Linked DNA regions of Oreochromis niloticus. The protein of the gene in region 1 interacts with the protein of each later gene in a pairwise test. Links are inferred from orthologs where the notes say so. Each region holds a gene or a part of one and is shown in the gene's direction. Other genes may lie near its edges.

The links. The genes of interacting proteins can lie anywhere in the genome.
Region 2: the proteins of htt (region 1) and ppl interact in binary tests that used the Homo sapiens proteins (3 or more experiments, as listed by UniProt). The link is inferred for Oreochromis niloticus from reciprocal best matches to the Homo sapiens genes HTT and PPL.
Region 3: the proteins of htt (region 1) and rnf40 interact in binary tests that used the Homo sapiens proteins (3 or more experiments, as listed by UniProt). The link is inferred for Oreochromis niloticus from reciprocal best matches to the Homo sapiens genes HTT and RNF40.

Annotation. Positions count from the first base shown.
Region 1 is NC_031971.2:34,422,698-34,430,749, forward strand, and holds the start of htt (huntingtin), read left to right. Parts: upstream 1-5,019; 5' UTR 5,020-5,326; coding exon 5,327-5,424; intron 5,425-6,165; coding exon 6,166-6,249; intron 6,250-6,634; coding exon 6,635-6,755; intron 6,756-6,870; coding exon 6,871-6,930; intron 6,931-7,097; coding exon 7,098-7,177; intron 7,178-7,362; coding exon 7,363-7,501; intron 7,502-7,601; coding exon 7,602-7,743; intron 7,744-7,878; coding exon 7,879-8,052.
Region 2 is NC_031969.2:543,901-551,901, forward strand, and holds the start of ppl (periplakin), read left to right. Parts: upstream 1-4,908; 5' UTR 4,909-5,074; coding exon 5,075-5,124; intron 5,125-8,001. UniProt on the Homo sapiens protein: Component of the cornified envelope of keratinocytes. May link the cornified envelope to desmosomes and intermediate filaments. May act as a localization signal in PKB/AKT-mediated signaling.
Region 3 is NC_031973.2:19,409,607-19,416,895, forward strand, and holds the start of rnf40 (E3 ubiquitin-protein ligase BRE1B), read left to right. Parts: upstream 1-4,196; 5' UTR 4,197-4,346; intron 4,347-4,751; 5' UTR 4,752-4,761; coding exon 4,762-4,899; intron 4,900-5,021; coding exon 5,022-5,189; intron 5,190-6,194; coding exon 6,195-6,504; intron 6,505-7,094; coding exon 7,095-7,289. Other genes in the region: phkg2 (phosphorylase b kinase gamma catalytic chain, liver/testis isoform), read right to left, coding at 1-99, 251-404, 491-581, 664-827, 1,719-1,784, 1,894-1,948, 2,048-2,223, 3,418-3,512.

The DNA of each region.
Region 1 (8,052 bases):
ATTTATCTCTATTCCTCATCTTTTTTTCTTTGCTGTGTTCTCTGGCTTTTATTTCCTTTTCTGACTGTGTCCAGTTGTTTTGAATTATTTAGCATTTTTTTTAAGCAGACCAGAAAGCCTCTGGGTGTTTGGAGACATTTGACTGAGTTGGAACAGGAAGACAGATGATAAAGGAGGCGATGTTGGAAATGTAACATAGACCTGGCCTGCAGCTGACAACTGCTTCTTTAAAAAAGAAAAAAGAAACAACAACCAAAAAAAATCTCTTGCGCCTGATCCGCTGGTTCAGATGTCAGCCTTCTTTGGCCTTTGTGCTTGGCTGATCGCTAGTTGGCCTCCATTTATCCTCCCTAGCTATAACTGTGTTTGAGATACATGTAGAATTTGTTACTGATGATGGCCACCTTCAACTACTATATTCACAGCTTGGATGTTGCTCTCTCAGGAATGACCTGAGACAGTTGCTCATGTGCGTAGAGGCCGAGAAATTAACAGTCAGTTGAGTTCTGAATTGCAGAACCAAGATTGTTTTACATTTTCCTACAGCCCTGTTTCCTTCCAAGTTAATCAGTCATGAGCAAATACATTCTCTTTACCTTCCCTATTTATATATATATTAAAAAAACATGTTCACCACTTGCTTATTTCTGAGGCATTTCAGGCCCATTTTATGAATTTAGCTTTGGAGGCAGTTGCTGTTTACTTCCACCTTCTGTTTTTAATGCTGTGAATACCCCACCTGCACATGTTAGTTTTATGTGTATAACCTGAATAATTAATCAATTTTTTTGTTCTACAGAAAAGCAAAGTCTGCATTTTGTCAATAGAGCGCTTCAGAATCATGTAGGAGCTTGATTCAATTCCTAACACTTTTGAAACTGTATACATTTAAAGTGGCACACATATAGGTCCCCTATGTAATTGCCTAATTTGGAGAAGTGGCTTATTCTAAGAGTCCCCTGTTGCACATTCCATTATCAGGAATCAGATGGGTGCATCTAGCTGTTGCTGGCTTCTTGTCATTGAGTTTCTTAGTGTCTTTATTTCGTTTGTTGTTGCTCTCAGGCACATTTGAAGCTGATTTTGCTTGCCTCTGTAGATTTTAGCCTTTTAGCTCTTTAGCCTCAAAAACCTTGTAAATTATGTATTTCTAACATGTAACTGATTCACTCATTCTCACAAGGAAACTAAACTGTGTTCACCACCCATGCCTCTATCATTGTTTTGACCATCTTTACTCTTACACCTTCCATATAGCAGTGAAGAAATTCTGTTTTTCGTTCCATTGCACTAATGGTGTGTTTTGACAATGACTATGGGAAAAGTGTCTTTAACCTTTTGTTGGTTTGTTTTTATTTCTGTTTTTTTGCCAGTGATACCAAAAGCAACATAAACTAAATTAGAATTTCTTTGTTTTCTGAAGAATTTAGTAGAGAAAGACTGACAGCCTTTATTATATGTGCCAATAACCAAGTTAATTTTTGACATCCTGCCTTTTTTCAGCCTCTTTATCCTTCCGTCCATTCTTAGAGAAATTCCTTTGTGTAAAGGAACTTTAAACAGCTCAACAGTTTTGAATGTCCGCACTAAGTGCATTGTAATGCCTGTTTAGAAAAATGCATATGTTTTATTACTCAAGCATGTATCAGTTTGTAATACTTCAGGTTCCTTGTATATGTAAATTATGACCTTCTAGTGCCAACATATCTCACTGGTATCTGAGGACATCTTTATGAATCGCAAGGCGACCAGCTGAGTCTTTGAATTCATAAAGCGCATTCCTTCTCTTCTGCCTTTCCTCCAAGACTCTGATGGTGAGTCAAGCCACTTCCCTAACACTGGGATGGCGCTCGCCAGCGACGTTTCGAAGCGCAAGTTATTTAGTTTACTCAAGTCTAGCTTTGGGATGACCACCGACACAGGCTGGGAGGTTTTGCGGGGTTTCACGTTCTTTTGTCCAGATTTGTCAGTTAAGTAATATTTTCGAGAAAGGGAGGAATGATGGATGGATTATGGGTTTTCAAACTCGGCCTGGGACTTCTTGATTTTTCTTCTTTATTTTGTATCTGTACAGTCATGTCGTTCAACCACTGCAGTCATTGTTAATTCTTGTACAAGTTGTATCACTGGTTGTTGTACCATATCTGACATTTGTAATTATGAAATAATACACTGCCATTTGTATAAAAATACTTGTCTTGACTTATTTGTTCTGTGTTTTTTGTTTTATTACTGTGAATAAAAGGCCATCAATTGGAAGAGTATAAAAAGTAATGACCTAGTGCTGGGGGAAAAAAGTATTTCCCCCCCCTTCCTCTTTTCTTATTTTTTGCATATTTGTCACCCTTAGATGTTTCAGAACATTCATCAGATTTTAATGTAAGACAAAGATAACCCGGGTAAATACAAAATCAATTTTTAAATGATTTCAGTTTAAAGGCATAATGAAGCTGGGGATGGGAATCGATATCACTTATGGATTAAAAATCCTTATCGATTCTCATTGGCTCTGCTTTGAAAGTCATCACCATCACTAAGCAGCATATCTGGGGCTGTGGTCAGTATTCAATCAGCTTTAACATTACTCTGAGTTCTTGGCTATCTTAGCATTAGAATGCTGTCTGTGGAGATGCTTGCAAAGAGCCAAAGTTGTGTAAGCAACAAAATTGAGTTGTTTCTGTCCTGGATGCAGTTTGCATTTTGCCATCACGCTCCATATGTGGAAAAGCAATGCTACTCTTGCTAAATCACAGCCTTGTTAATCAAGAAATCATGTAAATAGAAACCAATCTGAAGTAGACAGAAAGATCTCAGAAAGCAACACATTGTGCCTCAATCTAAAGAACTCAAGAACAATTAAGGAGCAAAGTCATTGACATCTGTCAGTCTGGAAAGGGTTACATAACCATTTCTAAGTCCTTGGGATTCCAGTCAACCAAGGTGAGAGCCATTATCCACAAATGGAGAAAACTTAGAAGAGTGGTGAACATTCCCAGTAGTGACGAGACTACCAAAATTACTCCAAGAACTCATTGACAGCTTATCCAGAAGGTCACCAAAAAAACCCAGAACAACATCTAAAGAACAGCAGGACTAATTTGCCTCAGCTAAGGTTAGTGTTCATGATTCAACAGTAAAAAAAAGAGACTGAGCAGAAATGGCAACTATGGGAGAATTCTGAAGGGAAAACCACTGCTGACCAAAAGAACACAAAGGTTCATAAAAAGAGCATCATATCAGCAATCAAACATAGTGATGATAATAATGCATTTTATTTATTTATAGGTGCATTTAAAGAGCCTCTAGGTCACCTTACATGAGTACAAAAAGAAAATAAAAATAAAAACATAAGGTAAATGAAAAATAAACAAGTATGAAAGCAAGTATAAACGCTAAACAAGGTAAAAATAGACTAAGACGGAATCACGATGAAGGTTATGCAATTTTGAATAGATGGGTGTTAAGATGCAATTGAAAAGTGGAGAGAGAGTTTGTAGTCCAGAGAGCTGGTGGAAGTGCATTCCAAAGTCTTGGGGCAGAACAACTAAAGGCTCTGAGTTCCGTGGAAGCGAGCAGGTGGAACAGATAGAAGGGAAGCTGAAGAAGAGTGGAGTGTACAAGGGGGTGAGTACATATGGAGAAGATCAGAAAAATATAGTTGAGCAAGGTTATGAAGCGCTTTGAAAGTAAGAAGCAGGATCTAAAGATTGACACGGAGCCAATGGAGCTGTTTAAGAACAGGTGTTATATGTTTAGTAGATCTAATTCGGAATATAATACAAGCAGCCGATTTTGAACTAACTGCAATTTATGGAGAGATTTATGAAGCAGACCATAGAGAAGACAATTACAGTAATCTAAACGAGATGGAACAAAAGCATTGACAAGTATGGCGGTACTGTTTGGAGTGATTGAAGGACAAAGGCGGTTAATATGATAAAGATGAAAATAAGAAGACTGAGTGATATTATTTATATGTGAAGGAAAAGAGTGCTGTCAAGGATGACACCAAGACTCTTAACCTGAGGGGAAGGTGTGACAACAGAGTTATCACTGGATAATGAAAAACTTCTGGTTGGAACTTTAGTCAGTTTTGATTTGGTGCCTATTAGAATAAATTCTGAAGTAATGGTAGTATGATGGTCTGGGCCTGCTTTGCTACTTCAGGACCTGGGCAACTTATCGTAATTGATGGAATCATGAACTCTGCTCTCTACAAGAAAATCCTGAAGGAGAGTATCTGGCCACTAACTCAAACCCAAGCACACTTGGGTCAACAGGACTATGATTCTACACACACCAACAAGTCCACATCTACATATATAAAAAGTTTTGGACTGCCTAGTCAAAGTCTGGACTCAAATCCAATTGAAATGCTTTGGCATGACCTTAAACAGGTCGCTCATGCTAAAAAACAAAACAAAAAAAACCCTCCAATGTGGGTGAATTAAAACAATTCTGCAAAGAAGAGTGGGCCAAAATTCCTCTACAGCACTGTGAAAGACTCATTAGCAATTATCCCAATAAATGCTTGCTAATAAATGCTAATATTGCAATTAGCTTGATCTGAAAAAATAAATATATAATAATAAAAAAGAAACGAAATCAGGAGTAAAATACTTAAAGTTAGATAAGTTATATATTTTATGCCGTTAGACCCTACATTTGCTCCATTCATTACCTGCTTCTTCCAATTTGTCAGAGATCATAGCACTAACAAAAGAATAAATGATCGAATAACTGTCAGGAGGGGCTGGTTTCCGTGCATTTGTTTTTCCTTCCTACGGTCTCGTATCAGTTGACACCCACCGTTATCAGCGCACACACTAAAGTCAATACTTGTAAATTACACTTGAACAAATCTGTCCTGCACTCCAGATTTCAGCGGTCTCGTGACTGCAACAATAACAACAAAAGAAAAAAAAATCACAGTGTCGTATTGGTTCTTTCTAAAGCCACTCAACAAAAATCCGGACTCTGATTGGCTGCTAACGTTGCACCCTTCCCCTCTCAGTAAACCTGTCACACAAGCTACTTCCTGGTGTGATTGGTGGGAAAACGCAATGCTGCATCAAAGATGGCTTATTATCAACCTGCATTTGATTTATTTAGGAATAGTAGTGTGAAAGAATAAGTGGCGCTCTGCGAGAAGACAAGGCGGAGAGCTGGTGGTAGCTGTCGCGAGCAGTGTTAGCACTCTCGCCGCACTACGCACCTCTTGCTCTCTACGTGCGCAAACGTTAAGTTGCCCCTACTCTGCTAGCTAGTTAGCTCACATAGTAAATATTAGCTAGTCAAGCAAGCTTGCTTATTGTAGATTGCTAAAATGGCCACCATGGAGAAATTGATGAAGGCCTTTGAGTCTCTGAAGTCATTCCAGCAGCAGCAGGGACCACCGACCGCCGAGGAGCTCGCTCAGAGGCAGTAAGTTGATATTTGTCCAGCGGTGACAGAATAGGAGGCTAGGAGCCGTTAGGCTAGACCCTTAGCTTATCGTGCTAGCAGCGTTGGTCCATCTCGGGTAGATAACCAACGTTTAATAGATGGCTTCAAGTCAGCTGCGCTAAAACGTAAACTGGGAATGAGGCTAAGGTGTTATTCATACTTCTCAGCCCATTTAGGTACACTTGTTGCCATGCTTTAGATCGCTGCTTAGCGATGCTCGCTATCCTAACGCGATCTGATTGTTTGCTAGCCTGATTTTAGGATCAGACCAGCTGAATGATGGCCAACACAGAAAGCTGATGCCAAGAACACGTGAAAGGGTCAGGAGGATCAATTTCAAGGACGTAATTTTGTGTATTCAGTAGCAGAGGATGTTGAGTTTCATAATAATATTTAAACTGCTTATGCAAATGGTTATGAATGGAATGATCAACATAGGGGGGCTTCCTGCACTTGCGTCATCTCCAAGAAGTTTTATGACAGATCTAGTCCGTTGTTGGTTGAAACACAGGCATAGGAATTCATTTATATAGCTTTTAAAGAAATGAATTGATGGGATCCGTGCGTAAGGAATACAGTTTTAGGGGATGGCTCTGATTTATAGTCATTATTTTAATCACTGCATTCCTTGGCTATAAGCAAGATACCTAAATTCAGTCTTTCTTTGTGCACACACACACACTCACACTCATCTTTTGCATTTTGTCTCATCTTCCACAGAAAAAAGGAGCAAGCTGCCACAAAGAAGGACAGGGTGACCCACTGTCTGACAATATGTGAAAACATTGTGGCTCAGTCACTGAGGTATTCCTTGTTATTTGATCTAAATATGTGTTGGTGTGAGTCATATCTTTTTACATTATTTTAGGGTTTCCTATCACCTTCACTAACTGTATAAATGGTAAGATAGCTTTTCTGTAAAGAATGTCTGAGGTGCGGGGTGATGTCATTTGCAACCAGAGCTGCTTCAGTAGTGGCTTTACACCTGATTTCACTGATTTCTGTGATATTTTGGGAATGAAGTGGGGACATGTTCATCTTTACATATAGTTTTTTTTTTCTTTTCTGTAATGTCCTTTGTGAAAAAAAACGTATTGCTCCTCAGTTTTGTGAGTTTATGCTAGAGGGTTAACAGTTTGAGAAAATTTAATAGATTTTTGGCTTTTTCTCTCTCTGGTCCTGGGAATAGAACATCTCCAGAGTTTCAGAAACTGCTTGGCATCGCCATGGAGATGTTCCTGCTCTGCAGCGATGACAGTGAATCAGATGTTCGGATGGTAGCCGATGAGTGCCTGAATAAAATAATCAAAGTGAGCAAAATCTGCAAGATGGGACAAATGAATAAGAATATTAATGACCAAAATTGTCAAAATAAGTTTGGTGTTGTTGGTGGTGGTGTTAATCATTCATTTTGATAATTTTCAGGCACTGATGGACTCCAACTTGCCTAGACTGCAGCTGGAATTGTACAAAGAAATTAAAAAGGTAAGGCATGAGGTTGTAAAGTGAGTATTTTTTAATACACCTTCTATGTCTTTACTCTCAGACTATAGGCCAGTGTTAGATGTGAAAAGAAATTGTTTGACGTTTCTTTAGAGAAAGTACGGTCAGATGTTAGACATGGTAATATCAGTGCTTGTGTGGCTCAATAGAATGGTGCCTCTCGGAGTCTGAGGGCAGCTTTATGGAGGTTTGCTGAGCTTGCCCACCTCATCAGACCGCAGAAATGCAGGTATGCAAACTTATAATATTTTTACATTATTTTTAACTATTATCCACAACATGTCTTAGTTTAGAGTCTGCTGTGGTTGTGGGGACAACATCAAAGTATCATCTGTGCTTTTTTTACTTGCATATTCTTTTTTTTTTTTTTGCTTTTACTTCATGTATACTTCTTCTCTCTCCCTTATGGCGCAGACCTTACCTGGTCAACCTGTTGCCGTGCCTCACCAGAATCACAAAGCGGCAGGAAGAGACTGTGCAGGAGACACTTGCTACAGCAATGCCCAAGATCATGTCCGCCCTGGGACACTTTGCCAATGATGGTGAAATCAAGGTATTCACCTGCTGTGTGCTAAAGTAGAAAAAAAAAAATAAAAATCATAGGCCAGTGGAAACTTTTTTTTGTAATCATCATCTAACTATTTCTGTTTTAGGTGCTGCTGAAGGCATTTGTGGCTAATCTGAAGTCCAGCTCCCCGACCATTAGACGGACAGCAGCCAGTTCAGCCGTTAGTATTTGCCAGCACTCCAGACGCACTAGCTACTTCTACACCTGGCTCCTTAATGTTCTTCTGGGTAGGTCGCACACAGGCTCACTTTCAAGCACAGACTGTGGACATGTCTTTTCTACCCTTTTACATTTTACTAAGATCATTTGTGTTAACATTTGTGAGCTAATTTGGAATTTTTGCCCTTTTCGCCTTTTTCCAGGTCTGCTGGTTCCGGTGGATGATGAACATCCCAGCCATCTAATACTGGGGGTGCTGCTAACCCTTCGTTACCTGATGCCTCTGCTGCAGCAGCATGTCAACTCCACTAGTCTTAAAGGAAGCTTTGGTGTCATGAGAAAGGAAGCTGATGTACAGCCAACACCCGAACAGCTGC
Region 2 (8,001 bases), on another chromosome or scaffold:
ATGCAAAAAAACATGCTGAAGTTCACATTCTGATAAAGAAAAAACCTTAAATGAACTGGACAGACTGGTTCCACAGGAGACTGGACTAACAGCTGAAGGCTCTGCCGTGTCTAGGAACCACAAATAAACCAGCAGTCTGAGAGAGAAGGGCTCTGTTTTAGATAATATGGTACTATGAGGTCTTTGAGATATGACAGACGCAGGACTGTAGCCTTGGACATACTGATTCTCATTCCTGCTGCTTCACACTCAGCCCTGAACTGGAGGATGGTGGTGAAAATGGAAACTTTCCATCTAGGAAATCTGTCATGAAAGTCATGAAAACTAACACTGTAAGCGTTTTTTTAAATGAAACTTTAACAAAACACACTGAACATTTCCGGAAGAATAAAATCAAACTGAAATGAGCTGAAAGTTACAAAAAAAAAAGAAACAAAATAAAGCGAGCAAAAAATAATGAAAAATTAAATAACTGAAGGGAAGATTGAAGATACTGTGAATCCAATTCATACTCCCAAAGTCTTATTTTACAGTGCGACTCTTAATCTGTGTCTTGGAGTCGACAAGCATATGTCCTTCAATGTGTGTACTAGGCAAATATGTTTGTGCGATGTCTCTAATGAGGAATATCCTCTCACGGTGAGCTCAAAAAAACTAGTTCATTTACTTCGAGGCTGCACTACTGTAATTTGTAATTATCAAGATGTCCTAAACACCACAGCATGTCCTAGTCCTGTTGTCCTCCCTTCATGCCCGACCGGTCGCAGCAGATGGCCCCGCCCCCTCCCTGAGCCTGGTTCTGCCGGAGGTTTCTTCCTGTTAAAAGGGAGTTTTTCCTTCCCACTGTCGCCAAAGTGCTTGCTCTTGTTGGTGCTTTCTCTGTATTGTAGGGTTAACCTTACAATGAGGCACCTTGAGGTGAATATTGGTGTGATTTAGAGCTACATAAATAAAATTGATTTGAATCTTTGAGAATTTGAGCCTCCTTCAGTCAAAGCATCCTTTAAACTAAGGCTCATTTTATGGAAGAACAGGAACTCACATGATGGCAAATCTAGCAAACCTCTGCAGTCCCAGTAGAACTCAGCTTTTTCAGTCTCACACTGGGGGTTAAATTCACACACAGGAAGGAAAAAGGTCAAAATAAGTATGCTTCTTGTCAAATTTGCCATCTTCAACTTGGAACCCTCTACGACTGAAACCTAAAAACTGCTGGTCTTCATCTGAAGACTCTGAGAGAAGCTATGCAAGCGTGATGTGCTGCTGAAAGTGTTACAAAGATAAGTTTTTATTCATTAAACCCTTATTGGAGCATCTGAAATAAAGCCAAGTGTGGGTCGTTCATCTTATTTCTTGGTTTACAATAAAACATGCTCAGAAGGTTGCTTGAAATGGACAAATTAATGAGACCCACCCAGCTGTCAGAGTGCTTCTGCACTAGAGGGATAGTTGCAGGAAGAGCTTGACATGCTGTTCGTGTTTCAGTGTCAGTGTCACTAACTCTCACCCTGTCAGCAGAGGAATGCTGTGGTGACAGGGTGGATGTCTGTTCACAATGAAACCAGTGTTTGATCATCTTTGTGTCAGACGGGTTAGTTAGTAGTTAGTTAGTCCTTCTGCAGGTGTAAAGGAAGTTGTCAGAGGGTGGGGAGCCAGTGAGTTGGGCTCACAGGAGTAACACAGAGAGGACAGTCTGGTCAAAACTGAGTCCTTACGTACTGGCTGCTGCTGAGGATGGTGAGGTGCAGGTGGTCTGACTGAAATGTGGTCCAGGCTCCACCCAGGGGTGGGGCAATATCTGCTGGACTAAAAATGTTCACGCCTCAGTATCAAAACCACCGACAAAAAGTGCCGGACTGTGACATGATTATGAAATTACACCCATGGCCATGAATGAGGTCATACATTTTTGTTACATATGTAATCCGCCTGGCACTGAGCGACTGAAAAGGAACTACAGTGCAAGGAAGACAATGGAACACGCAGAAATAAATAATCCAGGCAAGGTTTAAATGATAACTTTGCATCTAGCAAATGAAAACATGTAATGGCCCAGTGTTAGCAGTACTGCCTCGTAGCATGAAGGCTCTGCCTTTGCACTTGACGATTGTCGGGTCATTTATGGAGCGAGGGTGGCGGGTCTCTCTGTGTTAGCCCTGTGAAAATACTGGATGGAACCTGATTAGTAACTTTATGATTACTTTCATCTGTGACATGAGTGGAGGTGATGTGAAAAGAGAAAGAAAGGCTGTGAGAATAGTATAGAATAGCCCTTTATTGTCACTATACCTGTACAAGGAAATTGTGGGTGCTCCACTACACAGTACAGGGATAAACTATAAATAGTAAGACAGCAGGAATAAATAACAGGCAGGAGGAATATATACAAAACACGAGGAGTATGTACAAAACATGAGGATTATATACAAAACAAGAGAAAGGCACACAGTAGAAGAACAGGTTGAAAGGACTTGGTCTGAGGAGTCCATGTGTGAGTGGCCTGAATGATAAGGGTTACTGAGGCCATGGCTCAGACTCATGGGTGGGCAGCGGTGGGCTGTGGGGGGGAAGAAGCTGTTTGTGAGTGTGGTGGTGTGGGACCGGATTATGAGGGTGGGGTCTATTATGAGTTCTTTTGTTTTAAGGATGTTCAGTTGTGGGAATGATGGTGGAGACAGGTGATGATCCCTGGCTTGGTTGGTCCACGCAGGCTTCGACCCTGGGATGTTAATGATGCTGGAGGGAGAGAGAGAGGAGGTGTGTCGGGTCATTTTTGACACCTGTGGGTTATTTGCTACATCAAGAAACATTTGGCTGTTTTTATGAAAGGGACACACACACACACACACACTTGTTTAGGACCACATACTCATTTTTACTGATAACAGCTTTTATTTCCAGCACAGGAGATGAATGACTCGTCTTGATTCCTTACAAAGCTTCAAAATAGGAAAAGACTAAAGTGACAGTGTTAACACAGGCCAGGACTACATTCAGCTGATCTTCACAAGGCCGTGTTCAGACTGTCCATAATCCCAGGTAAAATAATACGAGTTAGAGGCGAGTTACTGCAAGACAACATTGTACTGACTCTTATCGATCACTTTTCTACTCTGAGCACTCAAAGCACTTTACACAACATGCCTCATTCACACAAACACTTTCATCTATGCCAGTGCTTCCTATCTCACGTTCACACACACTCATACCACGATGGATGCATCGGGGAGCAACGTGGGGTTAGCACCTTGCCCACGGTTACTTGGCATGGAGACTGGAGCAGACAGGGATCGACCCACCTGCTCTACACCTGAGCACACCTCCCACATGGTGCTCCATTATTAAGGAGTATTATTATTAGGGGCCAAGAAAAGTGCTGCTTCAGCTTTTTTCAGCTTTTCAGTTATTGTAATCTTTCACTTTTAACTCCCAGAACTTTATTGTAGCGCAATATAATATTAGCTTCAGCTGGCTTCCAGGAAAAACCCTCTTCTCTCTGAAAAATGGCAGCAGGATCATCTTTGCTATGTACAAACCACAAAACTTTGGCAACAATGTGCTCTGAACAGACCACACCAAAGGGGAATTGTTAGTCTCTAATGCACAGTGCCACATTGGAGATAATCAAACACCCAATACCACCTGTCACCACGATGGAGGAGGTGCAGCCACAGGACCTGGGAGACCTAGCAGCAACTGAGTGGACCATGATGCCAAAGTATTCTGTCCCACAGCCAAAGCTTGGACCAACCTACGTCATCAACAGGACGGCGATCCTGAGCTCAGCAGCAAACAGACTGAAAAAAAGAATCAGGGTTTTGCAGTCCATAAATAAAAACCTATAAACCTCCATGGTTTATAGGTTTTTATTTATGGAGGTTGTAAAGTGTGATAAATAAAGTGAGTTGAATTAAAAAGTCAAAGTGAAAACTACAGAGTGAATGTTGTCATGAAATGCCTTTACTCTGTATGTGAATTCCTGCAGTCACACTGTCACTGTTGCACAAACACAACACAGCATTTACACAGAGGAGCACAGTGTCAAGTCCGACTGGTTCAGCCAGAGCCGTCCTAGCTGCCACACCCCACCCAGAGCTACAAAGCCAGTCATGCACACAGGACAGGTTGTATTTTCAGATACATACACTGCAGGAAAAGGCAGTGAACAGAGAGATCCAGCTGTCTGAAACTGGCTCTGATTTGCCGTGACCCCAATACTAAGGTCACTGAAACAACCTGTAGCAGCTGGGGCCTCCAGTGATCAAACCTGCACATCCTACAGACACTTGGCCAGAGATCTGGAGAATATGAAGTAAACATCAACAACTCTTATGTTCCTCAAAGTATTTCCAAATACTTTTTGCCTTATAAAAGTGAATATTATGCTGCTAACAGAGGTCACTCCCTTAACACCCAAGCACCCAAGGTGGGTGCTATGAGTCAAAACTAAGATTTCCCAGCACTTTTAATAACTTGTGGGTGTGCCAAGCCTGCAGGTGTTCGCGCATATGTTTATATGAAAGAAATAAATGAGATACATCATTCTGACCAGGACATCTCGCTTTTACACAGGCCCGTTCTGCAGTGGGCACGGCCATTAGCGGTCTGCAGCTGGCACTACGCGTTGATACAGCAGCTGGTCGGCTGCATACCTGAGCCAGCCTGTTGCTGCCTCTGCAGCCGTGCTGATGTTACAGGTGCAGCACACAAACTGCTGATTACTCCCAACTGAAACTTTGAAATGGACGCGCCTCGTTTTACTGTAGAATTCATTCACTTTTTCAGTGGAACACACAACGTGTTTGCGTGGGTGTGAGAGGGGAAGGCTATGAAGGCGGGGCCTCGCTGTTTGGACCCTCCCACCCCGCGGTACTGACAGGTAGAAGGTCAGGCTGGAAGCGCTGACTTCATTGGTTCTGGTACTTTGAGCTGGGACGGCACGCTCTGATAGTGAGAAGGGCGCGTGGACATATCTGACTTTGACACACAGCGACGCAGCGAGCGCGCGCAGCCGAGACTCACCTGTACTGCTGGGTCTGTTTCTGTCGAAAGCCGCTGACAGGTGACCTTCATCATGCTGAAGAAGAAGAGCAAGTCCACCACGATAACGCAGCCGAAACAGACGTAAGTAGGAGCTTGTTCCTCTGCGCTCGAGCCCTTCAGAGCGGCTCGCGAGCTTCATCTGTGCTTAACTTGTAGTGATTTCACCTTTCTACACGATCAGCGGACTCACGCCACATCTCAGACAAAAGGATGGTTAAATGATCACACCCGGGTGAGCCCGGCTGAACTGGAGCTCGCAGTTTATATGCGCATATTGTATTACTTGTTTGTGCACACAGAGCGGTCGCGGCGCTGCGCTAAACAAGCAGCAGATGGAGAGAACGCGGAGCTGTCCGTCCGAGCGCTTTAACAGAGGCTTGGATCATCGTGTCCTGATGGATCGCTGGATGTAAACGTTCTGAGGTGGTGTCTGTATGAGCTACAGACAGACGGGCAGGGCCGAAACTCGGAGTTAGACTACATAGTTTGTGCATTAACTGGAGAGTGGGTGTGGCTGATAAGCCGTGGATAGTTTGCGGTAACTGGTTCGATAAGTTTTCTGCTGCCCTCCTTAGAAACACAATGTGAGAGGAATTCCTTGCAGCCTCGCCCATAATGACACCACCAAGCCCAGTCACTTCAGCTGTTTTACTGGCGTTGTCCAGGGTACAGGCCGTCGTGAAAGTGATAAAGTGAGGGTGTTGAATCATGATTCTACAGAGCGCTGGCTTAGAGACAGATGGTACTCCCTGTCAAGCAGCAGTTATCAGACACATTAGTGTTTCAGTGAGAGATGTTTGTCCTGCTGCCACACCTGCGCCAACAGCAAAGGAGTCCTTGTTTTGGTGCTGTGGCTTCATGTTCATGTGAAGCAACTTTGTTCACACCAGCACAGTGATTTATTGGCTTCTCACTGTTTCAGCCGTCTTAGTGCATATCGGCCATTATAGTCACTCATGCCCTGTGATCACCACCAACAGATTGTCATAGAATCTGAATTATGCAGCTCCACCCTTTTGTCCTACACCAGGTGCAGGTGTGCGTGTGTGAAAGATGAGCTCTCTTCATTGATGAGCCAGGTTTTAAGTCAAAGCCCAGCGAACAGAGACGACTGTAAAGGCGAGGCGGCGAAGCTGGGGAATAGTGATCTCTGCAGAGCTCAGTGTCTGTGCAGAGATGATTCACATACCAGTTGGAGGAGCTGGGGCTCAAACCACCAACCTTCCAGTTGGTTAACAGCATGTTCAGCACGTCTCAGTCTACACACAGAGAAAAGGTCTCGGGGTTTGCACTGATGCTTTAGTGACAGCAGCAGGCTTCCACACCCTGTGTGACCTAATGCTGGAGCGTTCTGGTTCTGATTTAACCAGCTCCCTGTGGAAACACGTGAGTTATGTTTGTCGAGTGCCAGGTCCTTTTCAGAACTAACACAGCCTCAGTGAGAACACTGCGTTAAAGCCAGTGACCTCTCCAGGATCCAGAAACACACAATACAAAGCAGAGCAGGTTAAACTGTTGGAGCATTGCAGATCAGCACAGAACTGCTTCTTGTTTGGTAATCTGACACTGTGCACTCTTTGGTGCTCTAATGACCACAGCAGGGTGAGCTCACATCTGTTCTGAATTCACAATGAAAACAACTCTCCACTTTTACACAAGTTTTATGCAAACAAGTAGTGCTAATCATTTGAAATCATGCAGGAGACCGCTGCGTTCATGTGAAGCTCCTTTGTTCTCATGTATTTGGTTTTGTGATGTTTAGAAGACGAGTGTAAAGTTGTAGATGAGACGTTTTCTTCATGTTTGTCACTAAAGTCAGAAATCCCCCTCAGCCTGTTGGGTTTTTGGTTTTTTTGGATGAGCTTGCAGAGAACAGCTCGACAGTACGCACCAGTTCAGACTTGTTTGTGTTAAAGTAAAAATCAGCTCAGGTTTGAAATTACTGCATCGTGCATTATGTAACAAATGATAGGTGTGTGTGTGTGTGTGTGTGTGTGTGCGCGCATGAAACAAAAACTCGCTGGGCTAGTTTCCCTCATTTTAGGGAATATGTCAGCTGGGAGTTACCTAATGGCACCTTATCCTTTTACATTGGAGAGGCCAGCATACACAGTCAGACTCATGAGCTCTGATGTTATCAATCAGAACACTTTATTAATGGAAACGATGTGATTATAGTCGCTCCAAGACAACAAGAACAATAACAGACTGGACTAAATTAAATGATACAATTTATTACAAAGTTACAAATATAAGAATTTGCTCTAGTATATAAACAAACGGCTCAATTATAAATATCCAGAGTATTGAAGAGATTAACTATGTACGAGTGACATTTTACGCTGAACTTTGTTACTTTGGTATTTTCACTGTAGACGATGTACAAACAGGTGTAACTATTGCACTGTGTGCTACAGTGATGGATGCATTAGATGGAGGAGTTGTGCAGGGAGATGACCACAGGCAGGAATGATTTCCTGTGTTGTTCAATGGTGGCTGTTTACGCCGTACTGTAGTGAGTTGTGTTCATTTTCACCCAAATTGACGCTGGTCATTGATTCCTGTCTGACACCAGGGTGTGTTTTAGTGCACTGGATGAGGATCCAGGATGAAATCACATGATGAAAAGATGCAGTTAGATGATGACTCATTATCACTATGTGTAATGAACAGCACAGGTTACTGTGCAGAGTACTTGCTGCTGGGTCCTGGATCACTTGGTAACTGTACGAGCAACATAATGTCAGTTTCTGTACAAACATGTCACTGTTGAAACTAACAGTGCACAGGAAAGAAGTCTAATACATTTATCCTGCATTTGTAGCCCCATTCAGGACTCTGAGACTGACTACATATTCAACTCTTTACATGCTTTGGCACTCTTTCCTACTCGTGATGGGTTCCCAGTTTGTCAGATCTGCTGGTTTAGTTTTAATCAGCCATGTGCTCTGCACTTCT
Region 3 (7,289 bases), on another chromosome or scaffold:
CCTCACATCCTCCCGCTGGTACTGCCTGAAGAAGCAATGCGCCAAGGCTTGCTCAGCAGTGAGACGGTTAGCTGGGTCCACCACCAGCAGCCTGGATATCTGAGTATCACAAGCACAAAGGTTACACAAGTACACATGAATGATTTAAGAGATGCAAATACTGCAATATGATTTATTCTTTGCACTGGAAATGTCAATATTAGGGTTGCTGCAGAAGACAGTACAGAATAAGCTGACTGTATGAGCTTACCAGATCCTTCACAGTGTCAGACCGGTCGTCCCACTCTGGGGAACTGAACTGATAGCGACCCTCCATTATCATCCTCAGCATCAGCATCTGCTTACGGTGCCAGAACGGAGGCGAGCCGGCTAGTAAGGTGAAGAGGATGACTCCACAGGCCCAGCTTAGAAACACACACCATGCAAATGTTAGAAATGGCAGTAAGGAGTAGTACGTTTGTAAATCTCCGCCGAACAAAGACAGACTCACAGATCGACCTCCTTGCCGTAGCCTGGGTGCATTTCATCCATGGAACACTTTAGTATTTCGGGCGCCAAATAACCAGGTGTCCCACAGAGCTCTGATTATAACAGAAAAGATCGTTTTAAACTAATAATGGATGAACACTTGTCACAGGATCTGCTCATGATGTACAGCCATACCTCGAAGCTTCTCCCCAGGTTGTAGCTGCACGGAAAAACCAAAGTCAGAGAGTTTGATATGGCCATAATCGTCCAGGAGAATGTTCTCCGGTTTCAGATCCCGGTGTACGATGTTGAGGGAATGAAGGTATTGCACGGCCTCCAGCAGAGCTCGCATCATGCTCCTATAGAGAACCGAAATACACACATTAGATCCTTGTTAAATAGATTTCGTCCAAGCATGTCTAAGGTTCACAGTAAACACTGTGTAATATGTTTGTGTAATTTTAATCATCTTTGGCCTGATTATTCTGATTATTCATGGGATACACAACATTGCTGATTGGCTATAAAATGAAAATCTTAGAGAAGCAGAGCTTCTCAGAAATAAAGATGGGTAGAGAGTCAACAATCTGCAAAAACCTGCATCTAAAAATTGTGAAGCAATTTCAGAATAATGTTCCTCAATGAGTTGCAAAGACGACTATACATAATATGAACTCCCATAACCTCAACTCAGAGAATCTGGAGAAATCTCTGTACGCAAGTGACAAAGCTAAAAAGCAGCACTGTGACTGTGATCTTGCACATCTGGAAAGGCAACATCTGTGATGAAATGTATATGCAAGTTTTAGAGCAACATGTGCTCCCATCCAGACATTTTTTCTGGGAAGGCCTTGCATTTTTCAGCAGGACAACGCTAATAACAAAAACTACAAAACTACAAAGAGCAGTTTTATATAAAAACAACCCCCAAAAACATGAATGTTTTGTCGATAAAGTGTTTTTCTTTTTAAAAGCTGCAGCTTTCAGGCTTCCGCTTTCTTGATGTGAGATTAAGTTGGGCGGCGTGACACGAGATTAAAAGTGGGTGGCGACACCAAACGTGTGATTATATTTAGATATTCAGCAGCTCTTTAATGCAGAGCTGCTCGCTGGATAACTTTTATATAAAATCTTGTGGGGTGGCATATTTTGGAATATGGTCTGCAGAAACAGAACTTTATCATGTGCCCAATGCAAAATGCTGCTAGTATTAATTAATACAGATATAGTGCAGTCATGCTGTGGCTCACCTGGTTTCCTTCTCACTTAGGGTAACTTTTTCTGTGAGGTAGTCAAACAGCTCTCCACGTCTCATGCTGACAACAAAAGACAGCAAATTGACAAATGTTGTGGAAAGAAATCTGAATTTCAGGTTGGGAGTGTAAAAAAAATTTAGTTTAATAGTTTTTTTGTCCTCATACTCACAGGTCAAACACCAAAAATATGAATGTAGCAGACTCATAGGAATCAATGAGGGTGACTAAAGGGAATGAAACACAAGAAAGCTTTAACACTAACCAAACTTTATGGAGATAAATTTAATGATTCTTTAACAAAAGGAGAGAGAACAGCAACGTACTGATGGAGGGGTGTTCCTTCACCATGTTGAGCACTTGGATCTCTTTCAGCGTGGAGATTTTCACCTCCTCCAACTGCTGGATTGTCATCTTCTCAGCTGTGATCTCGATAATCTTCACCGCCAGCTCCTGGCCCGTGTGTCTGTGCACACACCTGCGCACCACACTGCTCACACCCCTGACAATGAGCATACAATAAAGTGTATTTTCAACATGATCAAAAAGGACACACGGTGCACAGCATTTGCCCCGTTCCACTTACATGTTTCAGATCAATATGCTAATTTTAATATTAGACAAAGATAACCTGAACACACTTTTTTATATGATGATTTCATTTATTAAGGGAGAAAGGCTATCCAAACTTACATGGCCCTGTGTGAAAAAGGTACTGCCCCCCTAAATCTAATAACTGGCTGTGCCACCCTTGACAGCAAAAACTGCACTCAAGCATTTGCAATACCTGGCAACGAGTCTTTCACATAACTGTGGAGGAATTTTGTCCCACTCTTCTTAGAATTCAGACTTGCTGGTGTGTTTTGTATCATTGTTCTGCTGCATAACCTGTGTGGTCTTGAGTGTCAGTGGATTAACAGATGGCCGTACATTCTCCTTCTGGATCTTCTGGTAGAGTGCAGAATTCATTGTTTCATCAATTATAGCAAGTTATTGAGGTTCTGAAGCAGTAAAGCAGCTCCTGAGGCAAGTTAGGCCTGCAGTTCTTTAAATATAGCTCTGGGTTCTTTTGTAACCTCCTGGATGTTTTTCAGTGGCATCTTGGAGTCATGTTAAGGCCGGCCACTGGGAAGGTTCACCGCATTTTCAGGTTTTCTCCATTTGTGGACAATAATGGCTCTTACTGTGATTCACTGGAGTACCAAAGGCTTGTCTTTGTAACTCTTCCAAGATTGATAGATGTCAATGACTTTGTTTCTCAGCTCTTTCTCTAGATCATGACATGATGTGTTACTTTTTGAGATCTTTCAGCCTACTTTAACCTGTCAGAAAGGTTCTGTTTAAATTATTTCTTTATTCAGCAGTCTGGCAGTAATCAAGCCTGGGTGTGGTTTGTTCTCTTTAAAAAAATGTGGTTAGTCACGGTCAATTTGTGATTTAACAAGAGGGTTAATTACTTTTTCACGCAGAGCCAGGTAGGTTTGGATAACTTTTTTTCCACCTTTACTAAACAAAAACTGCATTTCGAATTTACCTGGGTTATCTTAGTCTAATATTTAAAATTTATTGATGATATGAAACATGTAGTGTAACAAATGTGCAAAAACAACGACAACAACAAACAAATCATGAAGGGGGGGTGGAGGGGATGCTTTTTCACAACATCACAACACCCAGGCTATTTTGGTTGACTTACCTGCCAATCACCTCTTTAGGATCATACTTCTGATAAAACTCCTTGGCCCCCACCCAGTCTGGTAATTCGTCCCCAACAACGATGTCTTTGGTCATGTTTACAGCTTATGGAGCTGTTAAAAGAACAGTCACGTGTCTTAGTTTGTACCAGTGGTTCTAAATAAACAGGAACTAGTTACCTAACTCCTGATAAGGAAGTATTGTGCCCTTAGCTTTAGTTTAAATCTAGTTAGCAGGTCAAACTTGCATTTTACTTTCTATATATACACACATCTCCTCTACCTATTGTTATTTAGAGGTCCATCAAAACGGTTATGTAACTGTCTTTGCTATGGCTTTGATACAGCAGCAGGTTCACTGACCGAACAGGAAGCTACTCACCATTTATGCAATCAAACGACAAGACAGAGAGGGAAACGGGGAATCAGGAAGCCCTCTCGGGGTCGAGGAATCTATTGTGAAGCCATAACGTGTGCGATTAAGCGGCTACAGTAACGAAATTAGCTACCGTTAGCGTTAACAGCAGTCAGCTATCACCTGAACACTGTTTACATTCTGGTCACAGTCCTGGAAGTTATTATTACAGTGTGCCGCAGCAGCGCCCCCGAGAGGCCGGAGGGGACGTGGCAGCATGGTTTGCATTTTTGAGGTCTCGAATACACTCTCCAGATAAATTCAAGTAGCTGCACTTCAAAGCACCGTATCCCAAGGAAGTAGTCCGTGTTTTGAGTGTGTTTTTTAATTTACAACTTGTTGTTACCAACGGGAATACTTGATCTTTACATTGTGTGAATTGCAAGCAATAGGCGGCGCTAATGCTCTCCCGTTATTGTAATGAATATTTAAAACCAACGAAGAAGAAGCGTTAGCTGCATATTTCCTGTTGCTTCTCTGATGTCCTGACTTACGTTTCAACTACTGGTTGTTAAGGTTTGTAATGATAAAATTTCTCTTGTAAAAAGACACACATATAACTGTTTAAGAACATTTTGTGTATGTAGTGATGGATAATGAATAAAAACCCCGACCACCTCGGAATCTTGACTCAATAACGCCGTCCGTTAGCCTTAGCGTAGCATTAGCATGGTTAGCGGTAGCAAGCTGCAAGCTTGCAAAAGATCTTTAATCTTTGTAGCAATATGGAATTAAGATGGTTGGTAGTTCTGCAGGCATGCCTTTATACAGTAATAACTCGGCATGTAAATGCTAGTGGAGCAGAAAAGTGAACCTTTTAAAATTAGAGGTCTGCATTTTTGATTTAAGGCTAACGCCGTCCCTTTGCTGTCACAAAATGAATGAATTATAATTCTTCATGCCTTGCTTGATGTAATGCAGGGAAGGAAAGATGTCAGGTGCTGGGGGAGGAAAGCGTCCCCCAGGCGGGGACAGCCCCCCTGGCCCACCTGAAAAGAAAAGCAAGAAAGAAGAGAAGACCACCACCACGCTAATTGAGCCAATACGCATAGCTGGAGTCTCCTCTACGGTGAGTTATATGGTCATCACGTTCTCAAGGCACAATCTGTCATCTATTTTTGCCAGACAACATCTACAATCCCTAACACTCATTATTTCATTTCTCTGTTTGTATGCGTTTGTTAATTACAGGAGGAAATGGACATGAAGGTTCTCCAGTTCAAGAATAAGAAGCTATGTGAACGCTTGGAGCAGAGACAGGCGATGGAGGATGAGCTGAGAGAGAAAATTGAGAAGCTGGAGAAGAGACAAGCCACTGATGACACTACCTTGCTGATTGTTAATCGCTACTGGTCACAGGTAATTCTGTGCATTTCATTATATTGTTAGAATCCATTCTTGAATTTTAGTTTCCACTCTAACCTGATTTAAGAACTGGCACATTTTATCAAAACCTCATGTAAACACAGCAGTCAGATGAATCTATTTTTAGCACGCTTGCATTTGGATGAGGCAAACCAATTTGGCTTATATCTGGTAATTACAGATCTTAACATTTTTTTGTGCTACCACTTATAGCAGGCACATGTGCATGTATAAATTAAGAAAGCATTGCCCAGCTCTTCCATCTGATGGATTGTCATCTTTTTATAATTTGTAAGGATTTGAGTGTTATAAAAATAACTCCCAACAGCTATATAGGTGTTATAGATAATTCTGGAACCTTAGGCAGGTTATATAGTAGGTTTCATCCAGATTGATCAGCATGTCTAGGAGGATAGTTGTTATATACATAGGTCCAGGCTCCTCCTCCTATGTATCCTGTACATGTTTTCCACCTGCCTGCCTTAACCTGATTGTACACATAGTGACAGGTATTGGTCGTTTATCAGGATGTTTAGAAGTTATTTAGCACCAGGTTCTCCACAAAGATGAGTCCACAATTGGAGAGGGGCGGCCGTTGTTCGGCTGTCCCCCAGTCCCCCAGTCCAGTCACAAACAGCTCTCCTTCACCGGTGGGCTGTTCAGTCATAATCCTGCAGATGGTAGCTTTGCACCTTTGGTTCCTCAGCCAAGCACTATACACCAAATGTCTGAACCTGCAGTTCCTCTTGTACTGAGCAGGATTACTATTGCAACTACACATCATCAGTAGGGTCTAATCCCAGCTCACGTTCCCTGTTGGTAGGTGAACAATCCAACGCTTGGTGAATTCTGCTTCACAATGATAGGAAGAGCCAACATCGAAGGATCAAAAAGCAGTGTCGCTATACGTATACTTAGCTGTACTAAGGCTTAAACTCATGGTAATAACTTGTAAAGAGAATTAACACCTTCTTCTTTCTATGTCTATCTGACTTGCAGTTGGAAGAGAACGTGCGCATTCTGCGTAAACGTATTGAGCCAGATCCTCCAGTCGTTTCTACCCCTGCCCCACCCTCAGCAACCATCCCTGACCAAACACCAATGGAGGAAGATAGTGTCAACCTGGCTTCGCCTTCTGGCGTGCCTCCCCCTCCTGTGCCAGAGGCCCAGAACGAGGGTGAGCGGCCAGAGCAGCAACAGGAGGAGCGTCAGGAAGAGCGTCAGGAAGAGGAGCAGCAGCAGCCCCCTCCTCCCACTGGGTCAGATGATTTACTGACACCATCAGAGTCACAATCGGATTCAAAAACAGGTTAGCAATTTTTTAAAATGACAAATCGTCTGTCATAGACTATTGTAATCTGTTTGCCTTATTCATTCATTCTCAATTTAACTTAGTGTATCTTTATGACTTTCATTACTCATGAAGTTACATCAGTGTGAGTCACTACTATTTATATTGATAGCTAATTTTATGCAACAATACTGCACTTCATGCCTTGTAATTTAAGGATATTCTTGTTTATTGTGTATTGACCATTTTTCAAGATGCCTAATAAATTATAGTGAGGCAAAGGGGAATGATAGTGGGCTAAAGAACGCAAGTGTTGCAGCTTTTCTTTCATCTGTTAGCATGTACTGCTGGCTACAAACTGCAGAATTTTAGTGTATTATCAAGACTTTAGTCCCAGTCTACACAGTCTGTATTTGATAGATTTGCTTTTTCTTTGCTTTGTATTTAAATAACAAATTTGAAAATGCTTGTTTATACCAGACTGTACCACATTGGACCACACTGTGCTAGCAATATATACTGTTTTCATTTTTTTCAAAAAAAATGTGATATTTAAGAATTCTAGTAAATTGTTATTTGCTGACTTTATCATTTTTACATATGTGCAGATACATCACCGCCACCTCCTCCCCTGAGTGAAAATGCCAAGGGTTTCTTGTCGACTCTGGAGCAGAGCAGCGAGGAGGAACTAACTCTGCACCTCCAGGACCGCATGCAGTTCAGCAAAGAAGCCATCGCCTGCTTGGTCTGCGTCTTTGATAGGCTGCACAGTCACATCAGTGACATGTGCAAGGTGGTCCAAG